Tribolium castaneum: one gene and its partner. The protein of the gene in region 2 interacts with the protein of the main gene of each other region in a pairwise test. Links are inferred from orthologs where the notes say so. Each region holds a gene or a part of one and is shown on either strand. Other genes may lie near its edges.

Region 1 (7,733 bases), on a different chromosome or scaffold from region 2:
AGATTAGTTACTGCCATTTCTGTTAGTCTAGTGAGGCACCTTTCTCGGTAGATTAAAATATTGCGATAAATTGCGTCGTAATCACTGAAGAAGCGCCACGAGACGAGAGCTAGAGCCTGTCCTTGAAGAAAATTGGGATCGAACGAAGTTGTTTATGTTTTTGAATAGAGAGCGAATAATTTTACATTGAATCATTTCATTTGATTGATTAGGGAAGCTGTAATATTGTTTTTTTTTTATTTAAAACTAGGTTAATCTTCCTTGCGTTTTGGTTGAAGTGTCCCCCAGCCATCACCAAAATGTAAAAAAGTGAATAGCGTTTATTTTCGGTTGCAGAAGGACGAAGTGTACCTGAATTTGGTGTTGGAATACATCCCAGAAACGGTATACAGAGTAGCGAGACATTACAGCAAATCAAAGCAAACAATCCCGATAATTTTTATCAAGGTAGGAGGTTTGGCTTTTTGTCGGGATTGAATTGCATGTTATATTTTTTTGCAGTTGTATATGTACCAGTTATTCCGATCGTTGGCGTACATACACTCGTTGGGTATCTGTCATCGGGACATTAAACCGCAAAATCTTCTGCTGGATCCAGGCACTGGCATATTGAAGTTGTGCGACTTCGGCAGCGCTAAACACCTCGTCAAAGGCGAACCGAACGTCTCGTACATTTGCAGTCGTTATTACAGAGCACCGGAACTGATATTCGGCGCTATCGACTACACTACGAAGATCGACGTGTGGAGTGCGGGCTGTGTCCTGGCCGAATTACTGCTGGGCCAGCCGATATTCCCCGGAGATTCCGGTGTAGACCAATTAGTAGAAATTATCAAAGTTTTAGGCACGCCAACTAAAGAACAGATCAAGGAGATGAATCCGAATTATACAGAGTTCAAGTTTCCGCAGATCAAGTCGCATCCTTGGCAACAGGTCAGTGGCTATTGTTAACGTCGGTTGTGCATTTTATTTTTAACTAACTAATGAAGTAGTGAATGTGGAGCTTTCGCATCCGTGGTATTCGAGAGGTACAATAATGCTCTAATTCCAAACACATTTTTGCCGTTTTAATAAAAACATTGCAGTAGAAGTTGTAGAATTTTTACAGCGGCTGTAAAAATATCCGTCCCGAGGGACCGGCGTGTTGAAAACACTCGCAGTTGCGCCAAAGGGACTAAATGTTTAAGAACATTTCGTATCTCTCGAATATTATTTCGCACGCATCGACTACAAACCAGACGATCCACCACTTGTTTTCCAATCGAGGAATTTTGATTTGTGTCTGACACGAGGAATAACCCACTAACAATTTGTCACAAGCTTATTACGAGTAAAATTTTGACGAGGACGTCTGTTTGCAGTTTTTGCTGTCGAGAATGTCTCTACCACATTGTAGCACCAATCACCAAAGAATACGTGTAAGTGGCTTTGGTTACTTGCCGTCATTCAATTAAAAAACGCTTGTGCGATGTGTGTTTTTGAAAATTATTGTGTTACAACGAGTGCATGTGTTGTTTGTTGTGAAAGTGACAGTTTTGGTCATCATCTACGTGTTTGAAATTAATTATCTTGAAATGAAATTGGCAGGGGAAAAATTAAATCTGTTGGGAAGAGACTAGATTTATTGCTTGATGGAGGATGCAACACATCAAAGTGTCACGCACAAGGGAACGCCCTTTTGTGGGTTTTACTTAACGCGTAATTTTTTGATTAAAGAGAAGTGAATTCATTCATTCAGTCCTGCGAGGGAACGAAATTTCAATGTTTATTACAGTGCTTGTTAATAACGTATTCGGTAGAAATGACTGTCTCATATTTTTTTATAGGAATTGGAATAAAAGTCACTTTTTCTGTGACACAACATTATGTAGAAGAAAGTAAAAGTTAATCAGTCGTTCATTGCATAATTAAAATAATCACGTCAAATTTGGCAGTTCAAAAATAAAAAACGGAACGATAATGAACTCTTCTTACAGTTGTGTCTATTCCAAATAATAAATAAAAGTTAAACATTGATAACAATTATATTTCTGCATGTCATGTTTATTTTTTCTGGTCGTCAACTCTGCTTTTTTAATTCCAAACAACACATTACATAATTTTGTATTTTGTAATGAAACTACTTACAGACTGTTCAAAAGAAATTTATTCAAATTATCATTTATTTTTTGTATCGTTTATGTGCGAATCAAATTAATTGCTTTCTATTTTTAAAGATGTTTCAGACAATGTACAGCAAAGAAATATTTCAGAAACAGCAAAAAAATCACAAAACTCAGTTTACATATTTACGTTATTTGAGCCAGTTCAGAATTTTTTTTGTTCTTGGGCTCACTTATTTCAAGAAACTTGGATAAAAGTATGTAAATAGCCGATTTATTTTAAATTAAATTTATTTATATTTTTTCTTATTTCAACATTTGCTTGAAACAAGCCAAGCTAAGTCACTGACAAATTACGTTATCTCAGTGGTTAGATGGTTTTTGAACCAGAAACTTTGCGAGATTTGAGACTAAAAACACCAAAAACTGTGCCTTCGTTACGTTATTTCAGGCAGTCCTAAGACCTCTAGCTCACATTTGAGCCAGAAATTCATTTATTTCAACAAATTTTGTCGAAATTAAACAAATCTCCGAATTATGGGTGATTTTAAAACTTTTTTGTGGCGAGTTTTTATTAAATGTATTCTCTTTGTATTTCAAAAAAAAGTTTGAAACAAGCCAAACATTTGCAAAACTACGTGATCTCAAACATTTTTCAGCGATTAGATTAAACAGGCTAAAGTCACCAGCTTAGTCTGAGCCACCTTATTTCAGTCAGTTTTCAATGATTTAGTTTATTCTTGAGCTAGAAACTCACTTATGTCACGAAATTTTGCCGAAAAAAGTAAATAAATTGCCGAATAAGGTCTAAATTATGTCGTTTTAACCATTTTTAAGCGATTTAATTCGTAAGTAAACTTTTTTCTAACGTGGCTTTAATTGTTTTTTCTTTATTTATTTATCCCCTTTTGGCTCCCGAAATATCTGCCCAAATTAGAGATGCGCTCATTTATTATTCTAATAGTTTTTTCAACAAATACGAAAGGATTAAATTGATTTAGTTGCAAGTATTTTTTTTTAATATCTGGGAATAATTTGGCAATGTAACGTCGAAGTTTGACCGTACTTTTGTTGAGTTATTGTCTTAAATGTAAAGGGCATAGAAATTTGATTCATTATTTCAAATTAAATTCTTGCGGAATTGGTAGAACAAACTGTAATGAAATGCTTTCCTTTTTGGTGAATTGTGCCATTGTTAATAATTTTTGGAATTGTTTAAATGGATTGGTTATTCACTAACAATTCATAAATAAAACGTAGATATTCATGGGTGTTTGGGAGTTTGAAAGATTCAATAATAAAATAAGTTTTGGTCGTAGCATTTTGTCATTTATTTTATCAATAAGGCAGTTTTTTGCAATCGCACGAAAGGTTTAGCCCGCCGTTGCGTGCTTCTGTATGTGACACATGCTCCAAAAAAGCGTATACATAAATAAAACAGTTGTGTAACGTCACTATGTCAATCGTATTGTATCGGCATTGATTCCAATTAGAAAAAAAAAATGTTTAAAATTGTATCGATAGGTATTCCGAGCACGGACTCCCCCAGAAGCGATCGAGTTAGTGGCCAGACTTTTGGAGTACACTCCTTCATCACGGATCAGTCCATTGCAGGCTTGTGCTCACGCATTCTTCAACGAGCTCCGGGACCCCAACACCCGCTTGCCCACAAATAAAGAACTGCCCCCTCTATTCAACTTCACGGAACAAGGTGATTTAATTGGGGGAGAGTGAGAGTTGGTGGTAATTAGCTGGTTGCAGAGTTGAGTATTCAACCTTCATTGAATTCCATTCTGATACCGCGAGGGGTGCAGGAGGCCGCCAACAGTCCGCAAGACGGGGCCGCGTCGTCGGGGGCGACGGACGCCGCCGACACGACGGCAGCCCCCGTGCAAGCGACCGCCGCCGGAATACCTTAAGTAGTTCAATCCTCCAAGGGAAGGGCCCCTTTCGCTCGTCCCATTTCTCCCTTTATCTAGTAAGCGATCTGTGTGAGATTGTTGATTGGGACAGCTGTACTATATTTAATATACGTGCGTTTGTACAGAATTTGATTAGTTGTTTGTAGGCGTTTGTGTTAATGCCCTTTTGTTTTAGCGCGTTCATTTTTACAAATTTTGTTGCGTTTGAGTTGCATTGAAAAATCTGGTGTCGCACCAATCACAATATATGTACATATTATTTATACATAAAAACATTTGTAAATTTTAAGTAGGTTTAGTTGAATGATTACTTTAGTTTGTTTTTGGAACCGTTGGAACAGATTTTTCAATGAGCATATTTGTATTACCAGACATAAATTCGTATATTTTTAAACAAGGCAAAATAAGTTATTGATTAACGTAGATCTTCTTGGTGATTTTCATCGTTATATTAGTGGTTTTAACATAATTTACTTACGCAAAGCATTTGGTGTTAATTATTTAAGGTTATTCGTTTTGGTATGAGTAGTAATTGTATAACAACCTGACATCGCGATAAAATCCAGGACCGTAGAGTAAAACAGTTGGTGTGAATTGATATGAGTATACAAACGAGAAAGATATTTAATCTTGAAATATTGTGTACTTCTAGCTTACGCTTTAGAAAAAATGAGTGAAACATTACAACGTAGAATTATCCTAATGATCGTACTAGCTTACGAAGTGCAATGCGTTAACATTTCTGAACACGCCTCCAAGAAACTAGGACAATTATTATTAGTTTCCATAGATGTGCACTATCTACGGTTTGGAGTTATTTTTTAAACGCAAGATTATGTGCAAAGTGTGTTATTTTGACATAGCCAAATTAATAATTTAATTTAAGGTAAAAGCACACTCTCCCTTCTCCCGCTCCTCGACACCCCTCCAACAATCGCAATATTAAAATAAAACATTATAATGACAGTTAACTCAATTTCGATGTTTCCTAAAATGCGAATAAATCATCTGAATAAGCGACTTTTTCATTTCAAGCCCTCTCGTTGCAACAGTCGGGTGTGCTTGTACCTTAAGTGGTTACAGGTGAAGTTTTAGACATTTGGCCCCACTTGGGGGCCAGTCACAGTTTCAGGTCTTCACGTGAAGTCGGCGATCTTTCAGTGGAGAGGATTAAATGTCTAGAATTTTAAACGAATGACTTCTACGCTAGTAGTATTTATGACTGTGTCGGTTAGTTAAAGAGTGAGACTCACCTTGGAATAGTCTGTCTGTCGCCCCAATTGTTATGTAAATATCTTGTTTTATGAAAATTTTGTGATTTCCATAGATGCAAGTGCTCTAGAGTAGAAGGTCAAAACATAACATATCAAAATATTTTTTATGAGTAATTAGTTGAGTTTAGTTGCGTTCGGGCGCCCCGAATTAGTCAGGACAGAGTTTATTTTATTTATGATTAATTATATGATTTGATTGAAATGTATACTTTTCTCTACCAAGTGAGATTGGAACCAGCTTTGTGTTAGAATATGCATTCTATGAATGCACTTCATTGTTGTACCATGAACTAAAAGTGCGCCCTTCCTGAGGCCAGCCTAGCGGCAGCATTTTTCCTTCATGTTGTCATGTGTAGCATCTAGCGAACTGAAGCAATTGTAAATAACGGTAATTTTGCAGGCAATAAGCGGAGCTCTTGGACGCACTTTAAGAATTGCTTCACGTTTGCTTAGGGCTGTCTTTATTGCCTTGGAAAATTCGAGTAGACGAAATAATCTCCTGCACAGCTTATCTAGACACGAAATCGAATGGTTGCTTCGGTTTTATGCGTACTTTCATTCTGGACAACCAAATATACTCCTCGAGGCCCGCTCAGTGTGCAGGTTTTCAAAATTTTCGGCAAACTAGTGTAAATTTGTAAATACGCTTTTACAACATGTTCAACACTCGCGAAATGTAACCAGGTTATGTTTGGTTGGTCCTGTGCTGTTCTTAGAACTCCTAACTATGTCGTTTTATTTAGAGTTTTAGGCGGATTATATTTCAAATTTCTTTCAGCTCAATGTTTTACGCTGTATATATCTCGCTTATTATATGTAAACTTGACACTGGAATATGCAATATATACCATGAATATTTAAAATATAAAGAAAGTATTAAAAGTTTATTGCTCGTAATTTAACCCAACAATACTTTTTTCATCAAGTAGGCGCGAGGGGGGCGCAACTCCTCGCCGTCTTCGACGCACTTCGTCGAACACAAATACTGCAGCAAGGGCAGTCGGTACTTCCCACAGAAATCGACAAATTTCACGTGCTCCACGCGACTGTTAAAAAACACACCTGCAACAAAATAGTTAATAATACGAGAGCGAAAACACAAGTTCGAGGGCTGTCGTTATGCTACGAGCGTAAACGAGTCGCATACATAGACACTCGATAACTTTAAGCGTTTTCGCATAATTTTTTTTGTTGGAACATTTTAACTTAAAACACGTGGGAAGCGTGCTTTAAAATCTAGGATTCAGGTTATTTTTAATAAAGCCTTCTTTTAAAGACATTAAACAACTCACCTTTGCAATACGGGTTGACGCAATGGTGGGCCGAATCCAAATAATTCAATAAACTGGCCGGAATATCGCCCTTTTCGACCCGCATTTGGTGCAGTTTTATCACACGAGCCGACAATTCTTTCAGACTAGCCGTGTTATGTTTTATGTTACTCACAAAACGGACAACCAGGGGGTTATCACGGAGACTCAGCTGTGACGATCGAATTTTATTTTTACACAAAGATGATTTATTTGTTACCTCAGTCAAATTTTTCAGCGCGATTATTTCAGGCGGCAAAGTGCGCAGTTTGTTTTTGTGCAACTGGAGCGACTTCAAGTTGTGCAAATTGGCGATATTTGACGGCAAACTCTCGATTAAGTTATCGCAAAGCACCAAAGCCTGCAGTTGCTTCAGTTGGCCTAGAGTTGAAGGAACTTCCACTAATTGATTGCCACCCATCGACAAGATTTGAAGGCTGCAATCATTATCACGTGTGGTCGTTTTAGTCGTCCCCACTTACCAGTTTAATTTCTTTATGTTTTTCGGTATTGTTTTAATTTTATTCCCTCCTAGGTACAGGTACTTTAAATTAGTAAACTCAAACAGTTGTTCGGGAAACTGTTCGAAAACATTCCCGCTCAGGTTTAGCTCCCGCAAGCTCGCACTCTCTGCGAAACTTTTCGGGAGGGATTCGTTACTGAAGCGATTATTTTTCGCAACCAGTGTTGTTAAATGCCAGTACTCGAAAACATCAGGTAAGGCCGTAAGGCCGTTGTTGCTGATATCGAGGACTTGGACGTTTGTGAATTTTGCCAAATTTTTGGGGAGCGTTGTGAGTTGGTTGTGGTGCAAAATAATCGACTCGATGTCCTCTCGCTTCGTGCAGTCCTTGCCTAGTTCGTTCAGATTTTCTTCCAGTTGTTGCGAATCCAAAAGCAAATAGGCGAAGTCGAACACTTTGTTTCCATTTGTATCACTGTCACTGCTGTAATTCTCCATAGTTGCACTCACGTTCAATGGCAAATTGTAACTAATGGGGGCATGACTTGAGCAGCTCTGATTATGATAACTCCGTTTGAACTGTGGGCTGCGATTAGGAGAACGCTGCGTTCAAGCGAAGCTAAGGTCAAACGTGTTATCACCAATTTGTGAACAAAGCGTGG
Region 2 (7,733 bases):
TTTATTTGCAACGTTTCGACGAGGGCCGTTGTCATCTTCAGGCGATGCGTTTGTCGTTTGTTTTATTATTAATTGATAACGCGTCACGTGGGGTTCTATAAGAAAGTCGGTGATTGGCTGGCCGAGGGTGAAACGTGTGCGTGACGCGAGGGAAAATCCTGAAAGTTTTCCCGCGATTTCAGTTTCCAGTTGGCGGTTTTCCCTCGAAGGTGATTGTGTTTTGTCAAGTGATGCCTGGTTGTTTGCGAAGGTATCGCGACTTTTTCGAGTTTAATTAAAACAAGGGGCAAGACCGGCTCTGGCTCAAGACATTCTCTTCCAGCAGACGTCGGTTGAAGCAAAACCTGCATTACTTACATACTTTATACCGAGCCATTATAACGTTTTTATGAACGCAGACGTGCACTTTAATTAATTCACGGTTTGACGAATTTTTTTTAAAATATCACATTTAGCTTAGTTAGTTAATTACAACAAAGTACACGATATATCATCAATTTCCAAAATCGAATGGACTTTCGGACTGTCCTAACAATCCGAAAAAGGTTGTGATTATTATTAGAGATATTGGCTTTTTCTTTTTTTAATTACTGGTAATAGCTGTGTCATTGCTACATATTTTAAAATTATTGCGGTATAAAGGCTGATTCAAAAGTGACGGACAAACTCTAAAAGACGTTCATTTAGTCAGTTTTTTTTCAAGTAACTTAATTTTGACATATTTTTTTAATTTGTTTTCTTTAGCAACGGTAGCGATTTTCGTTTTATATGACGCCGAAATTAATTTATTGTCAAATTTTCAAGACATCATAACATTAATTGTTGATTTTTTTCAATAGGTATTTGTTCAATTTTTAAAGAGCCGTCGTTTCAGCTAACCAAAGTCAAAAAAATATGATCTGAAGCACCAAAAATAATTTTTTGTCATAGGAACTTTCAATTCAGTTTGATGTCCTTTATCAGCACCCGAGAAATTGTCCGGTACTTTTGAATCACTGCGTATATACTGGTAAAATTTAAAAAACACTAAAGTTATATTTTTTTAAATGGGACACCTTAAATTTTATTGCATTTTTGGACGTAGTTTTTAATACTGATGATTTTGATCTAAACTTGTATTGATCGATTTTGCTTAGTTTTTGAAATTTTAATTTGTATTTTACCGAAAACACGCCTTTTGCAAAAAGTATTACACAAAAACTAGGAATAATAGAAAAGTAGGAATTCTACCACTTTAAAGAAAAAAGTTCAGACTTAAATATGTTAAATTGTTTAGCGCATTTGCAATTAGGAACGTATAAAAATTAAGAAAATTATTAGAACTTGAATAATTTGAAAAACTTAAAGAAACACCCTATTTTTGTTTTTGCGTCTCAAAGGTTATTAAATTTTCTATCTAATAACAAAGTTTTAAATGCCTAAACTTAATAACTAAAAAGATATTTGAGTTTAAAAGGTACTGAAACAACAGTTAATGTTTTTTTTAATGTTTAAAGTTAAATATTTTATGAGTAATCAGCAAGAAAGACAATTTAAAGGTCTTCTAGATGCAATAATATTAAAAATTAGTTATTCAATTTGCAACAAACCTCTTAATTTTTTTATCTTCTTGATTGTAGGAAGCTAAAAAAATGTACCCTTTAAATTTGAATTTTTTTCTTTAAAATGGTGAATTTTCTATTTTTCTAAAGTTCCTAGTTTTTATGTATTTTTTTAAACTTATTTTCATCAAAAAAATAAAGTATTTAAAAATTTGAACAAAATCGACCAATAACAATTTAGCTTAAATGTATAACACTGTGAAAAGCTACATCCAAAAATGCAAAAAATTAGGGTGTTTCTAAAGAACAACTTTAGCGCGTTTTTTTTTTTTTTAATATTGAGACACCTGTATATAAAGTGCAATAATTTTAAAATATGCAGCAAAAACCTCCAAAAAAAAAAAGAAAAATCGTTGGAACAGTTTGTATGTTCACATTTTTTTACCGTTAAAATTTCCCCGAGAATAATCGGTAATTCCCCCGGTTTTTGTGAAAAGCCGTCAAGATTTTTTCTAGCCTTGCGAGCCGTAGTTTTGTTTTTCACGCCGCTTAAAATTAAGTGGTTATAACTTAAAATGCCGTTAAATTATACACTAACATGGCCCTTCTCACCCCTATAATAACACGGTACGATTTCGACGGCGTTCGCTTTAATTAATACCTTCACACCAGTTCAAAGCGGAAAAAATAAAACATAAACTTGGCCACAACCGATCAATTTTGTATTATTTTTGTGATTAATTGTGCGACATAAACGCAAAGTCCGAACATGATGTGGTTATGCAACCGTGTACACACGCATGCGTCACTGGTTGCATAACCCGCAATACAATTTAAATAAAAATTAATTATTTAAAAGTTTGAAACGATAATTACACAAAAACAACATTACCGTAATGCCAATCATTTGGCCCGTGGTTGTTGTTAATTTCAAGGCCTTGCTATGTAAGGGGGCTGCGTTATAACCACTTTACGTGGTGACAATGGCAATTAATTTTTTAAATGTTTAATTATGCAAAATTTGTTTCTTTTGTCTCAAATCTTGTGCCCTTGTGACTTCCTGACGGCGTTCCAGCCCCTGCATGCCCCTCATTATGCGTCGATTGCTCACAAAAGCCTTTGGCTTTTTTTAAGATGTGGTCCAATCGATCGATGGTGCCTCCAACCACTCTCATTTCTCTCTCTATTTCCATGGCAATATCTGGCTTAAGTAATAAAAATGAGCCTTAGGACTGTTGTGAAAAAGGATCTGGTGGCTTGAAAAGAGCGTGGAGCCCCCTTTTGTCTAATGAGTCATCGATCGAAGGAACTCTTAGGACTTTATCCAGTTGTTCATTGCAGCATTTGAACATTTCCTATTCGCCTGTCCATCATAACGGACGCTTCGGGTCTGATTTAAGTGGCAGCTGAATGCGATATTAATAAAATAAAAATAATTTTTTCGTAATAATAGGATAAGGGGTGTATTGTGTGTTTAGTGCCGTTTCATAATAATATTTCAGTGGGGCTCCCCGTTGATGAAATGCGGTATGTTTTGCATGGTTTGGCTGTTTCGTTCGCCTGATTGCGTTCTAGCCGAAATTACATCATGGTAAAGTGATGTAATTGGATATGACAGGTTTTGATTTTTTCCTACCTGAAATAAATCTTTTGTTTGGATTTATTAAATATGATTTAATATTTTCTAACCGGGGATCCATTACGAAATAATGCGAGCAGAAGAAATGAATAGGGCTGCGCATTGTATGGTTTTGTTCAGATGCTCTTCGGGTATTGATCGAAGAGTCTACCACTCCCCAAGGGGCACTCGCTCTAGCGTCCATATTTGAATTGTTCCACGATGCGGGGATTATCGGGAGGGGTCCACGGGCCCCCTAGACAATTTTTTTGTAAAAAAAAAATTTTTCGAAAAAAATTTTTTTTCAGTTTTCATGATGAATCCGAGGCGTTCCGCCCCCTGTAAGTGCCCCATCTCGCTCGGCTCGTATCGGGGGCCTCTCTCAACATGAACGACCGGGAAAAGAGCAGGTCCAGTGGCAAACAGCACATCTATGAAGGCACTTTCGACTACACTTTGCCGAGGCCCCCCGCATTGGGAGAGGAGAGAGCTTACAACGCGTCGGAGCGGGGGGCGCAGCCACTGCAGATGGACCGCAGGCACTACAAGTCTTCCTCTCCTGTTCCAAGTAACAAGCAGTTAATTATTAAAATTATTAAACAATTAAAAAAAAAATTTTTCAGAGTTTGATTTCGACGATGGTAGCAGTTACAGGCCTACTTCGCGGCCTTCGTCGCGCCACGGGAAACCGCCGGCCTACCTCGCATGGGCCGAATCGCTGCACAATCTGCTGCAGGATTCGGACGGTGTGAAATTATTCTTGCGTTACCTCGAATCGGAAGGGCCCCATCATGCCGACACGTTGCGCTTTTGGTTCGCTTGCGAAGGCTTGAAGAACCACGATCAAGTCGAAAATATACAAAAGTTGGTTAAATTGATCTACAAGTGAGTCCCGATTGGTGCATTTTTGGGTTTTGATTAGTATTTTTTTCAGAACGTATTTTTTGAAATCGGCCCTACAAATCAACGACGATCTGAAGAAACAAATAATGAGAAATTTAAAATCGCCCCAGTGCCTTGAACCACCCATTACTCTGTTCGACGAGGCCCAAGCACAAATCGAAAACCTTATCAATAAAACTACTTATCCCAACTTCCTCAAAAGCGACATCTATCTGCAATATGTCCAAGTAATTACGATTTCTAACATTTCTCACTCGAGATCACTAAGGTCAATATTAGGCAGTGGCGGATCTGGGATAAAATTTCTATTGAGCCGAAAAAATAATTTTAAATATTTTTAATTGTGTTAAGTGTTAATTCTAGCGTCCCGTTTTTCATGCATTTTTGTCATTTCACTGTCAAATATGATAGGAATCATAGTTGGCTATGTCATTTTCGAAAAACTTATTTTTTTCTGAACTGAAAGCAATATAAATACAATTTGACATTTTAATATACTTTTGATAAAAAATATATTTATAATATTTGAAAGTAGTTGGCCATGGAAAAATTATTTCACATAAAAGGTGTGAATAATCTAGAAATTTTGTGAACGGTTATTAAAGTAAAAAATGTGAAAATATAAAAATAAACTATGTTATAGTTATTTTCAATTGAACAAATATACGATCATCGCAAATGTTAATTAAAAAAAAAATGTGCAGAAAATTAAAAACGATGTGATACTACCATTTTTCACACTTTTTTGATTTAGTGACGTGACGTTGATAATGTTGATTAATTTTGGTGTTTGGATCGACATTTCTTTATTAAGGAAATCATACAATTAAGATTTTTTTTTCAGACATTTCATGTTTAATTAGAAAATAGAATGACAGAGCTTGCCATTTTAAACCTAAAAACAAACAATTTTTTAGTCGCAAAAATTTGATGTAATAATAATTTATTATGCTGTTTTTGATTTAATTACTGTTTAAAAAATCATTAAATTATAAATACTTACTGGATAATACATTTTTTAAAGTTTGAATTGAAAATCCAAATTTTTGTTGCCCACAAAAAAGAAAAAGAGAATTGTTATGTTTTATTTTAATTATTTAAAAATAATGTATTACACAAATAAACAGATTAAATCAGAAAAAAAAATAACTTTTCGAAAATGTCTTACAACTTATTTTCTTTCAATGTATTTTAATTCACATTTTTATTCTTCCTCGTTGTTTATGATGTAAGTTCTATTTCCAATTTATCGTTTTTCGTCGCTGACTAAGTTATAAGTTTTTTTGGCGTTTTTTTTGCAAAGACAATCAAGACATCATTTTTCATTTTGGTTTGGAATCCATTTAAATGACCGCTCACAACAGCGAAACCAATTTTTTTATAATCTTGTGGTTCCAATATTTGGTTAAATCACCCTAATGTTTAAATTGCATTTTATTATGCATTGTATTAATTTTTCTACCCAATAGTCGGTCGAGAATGCGAGCAGCGACGACTTCAACAGCGAATCGAGCTCTTCCAGCAGTTCCCTCAGTAACAAAGACTTGGGGAACTTGGCCAGCGGTTTGGGCCCCCTTCCCACGCTCCACGAAGGCATGGAATTCAGTCTCAACACCCAGCAGCCCGTCATCCTAACGCCAGGTGCACCAACACTCAAAATCTAATTATTTTTTCACAAATCAGCACTGTCTAGGTGCAGCCAGTGTCAGTACGGGTTATCACACGCCAACAGTTCGCCTCACCAAAGACATGCTCCTCCGATCTCAAAAGCATCGCGCTCTCGACATCCGCCCCAAATCCGAGACCTATGCTGGGTGAGTACCGTGCAAGCAAATTTTTATTTTCACAACACGCTTTAAGCTTGGTTTCTTTTTATTTTCTCCGTTTTGTTTTTGCGTGTGATTGCGTAGTTTGATATACCGAAGCAGTGGGGCTCACGTCGCATACAATTCCTACAACCCGGTCTCGAGGCAAGATAGCGAAATGCAGTCGCTTAGTAGTCATTCAGATGCGAGGACCGAATCGGACAATATGTCCTTAAATGAGAGCAATGTGTGAGTATTGAATCAAGGGGGCGATATTTGCGGGCGCATGTCCCGAAATTTTGGTTTTGGTGGCGGGGACTAATCCTGAACTCTAACAAGGGTGATTAACAATGAGGATGGAAAGTTTGAGGCGAATTTTGAGTATTTGTATTAGAAAAGTGAGGTTTTGTCACTTTTGAATTTTCACGCTGATTGTTTAAAAAAACGTAAAAGAGTAAATATTTAAAATTGTTACCAGCCGATCAATTGGGGGCACGTTTCTGGACACAAAACCACTAATTATGTTTTTTGTTCTATTTTTGTCGGCAAACTTAAAACTTTGGACGTTAGGGACTTTTTGTTACATGGTTGGCAACGCTGCAGGTTAACAAAGTTTAAATAATACAAATTTCTAAGTTTTAATGTCTCTAAGGTCTCAAGTGGATTATATTTAACGTATAATTGAACTTTAAATGGTATTTGAAAATGTATTATTGTTTTCAGTAGGACTTATTTGACATTTAGTTTGGGGAAGCCAGTGGCGTAGCATAAATTTGGAACCGAACCTTAAATTACTTTTAGATGTGCCTTTAAAACAAATGTTTTAGTTTTAGGGTTCAGAAGTGATTGTAAACTGTAATTGAACAGAAACCTTGATTTTACTCATATTTAAGTCGACTTTGATTACTAAAAAATTATAAAATCTTTGGCTTAAATAGGGTAGGAAATCTTATGAATTTGATTCGATTTAATTGGTTTAATATTTTTTACAAAAACAGTATTTAATCTTTACAAGAAGCGCCAGTAGTTGCTTTTGAAAAATGTAAACCAGTGGCGTAGCAATTTGAAACTTTTTCAATGTGGCCCAAACTTTCCGTGCTCTGAACAGTAGGGGGCAGTCTCACCAGTAACACTTCGTATGTAAACCGAAACAAGGTACGGTTGCATGAATGCATGCCGTATAGTTCTACTTAACTTGTGTCACGTGACCTGACCAGTGACATTTCCTTTGATCGTCAATTATTTTTCTTGTCAGTGACGGCAGACCAGGTCGTTCTTTACGCAAATCCATCGAAGAGAAACAAATGCGTCAATTCGCCCGTAATAAAGAAGTAAACATGAACCAACGTTTCATCCCACGAACCCAACGCATGGATGTGGGTAACAATTGCCTGCCAATCGAAGAACACGCCGCTCTCTTGATAAAAAAGCTCGAAAATCTCAAACGCGAACAGGAGAACCAGGAGTTGTTCAAGCGCCGATTGAAAGAAGGCGATTCGCTGAGTTCGCTGGATGACAAATTCCAAACGCGCGATATCGAGTCGGCCATGCGCGAGAAACTACAGTTTCAGGATGACAACGATCAGGACATCCTCGACGAGCACGTCTCTCGTGTGTTTTCGGACCACTCGTTGTCGATCTCGCCGGGATTGGTCAGTCCGAAGGCGTCGTCCCCGCCCCGCGGCCGCTGGAGCCAATCGCAGGCGCGTCGTCGCGACAAGGACGTGTTTTCGATCTTTAGCAGCGATTCGGGCAACGTTCACGATTTCGCGGAGTCGTCCGAACGCCTCCCGAAGTCGAAAAGCGTTCCCGAGTACAACGACGATCGGTTTTCGCGGGCGGCGTCCTGTCGACGATCGGCGAAGA

Evidence for each region.
Region 1: the proteins of Axn (region 2) and sgg interact in a two-hybrid assay, tested with the Drosophila melanogaster proteins (2 studies listed by BioGRID, with this or other methods). The link is inferred for Tribolium castaneum from reciprocal best matches to the Drosophila melanogaster genes Axn and sgg.

The regions. Positions count from the first base shown.
Region 1 is NC_087402.1:5,769,394-5,777,126, forward strand, and holds the end of sgg (glycogen synthase kinase-3 beta), read left to right. Parts: intron 1-336; coding exon 337-447; intron 448-501; coding exon 502-933; intron 934-1,361; coding exon 1,362-1,418; intron 1,419-3,626; coding exon 3,627-3,813; intron 3,814-3,863; coding exon 3,864-4,021; 3' UTR 4,022-6,183; downstream 6,184-7,733. Other genes in the region: leucine-rich repeat-containing protein 58, read right to left, coding at 6,197-6,360, 6,591-6,780, 6,829-7,045, 7,091-7,569.
Region 2 is NC_087399.1:7,266,004-7,273,736, reverse strand, and holds part of Axn (axis inhibition protein), read left to right. Parts: intron 1-2,531; exon of another isoform or gene 2,532-3,177; intron 3,178-3,230; exon of another isoform or gene 3,231-3,467; 5' UTR 3,468-3,546; coding exon 3,547-3,727; intron 3,728-3,782; coding exon 3,783-4,044; intron 4,045-4,093; coding exon 4,094-4,289; intron 4,290-5,531; coding exon 5,532-5,703; intron 5,704-5,755; coding exon 5,756-5,876; intron 5,877-5,972; coding exon 5,973-6,116; intron 6,117-6,342; exon of another isoform or gene 6,343-6,463; intron 6,464-7,122; coding exon 7,123-7,733.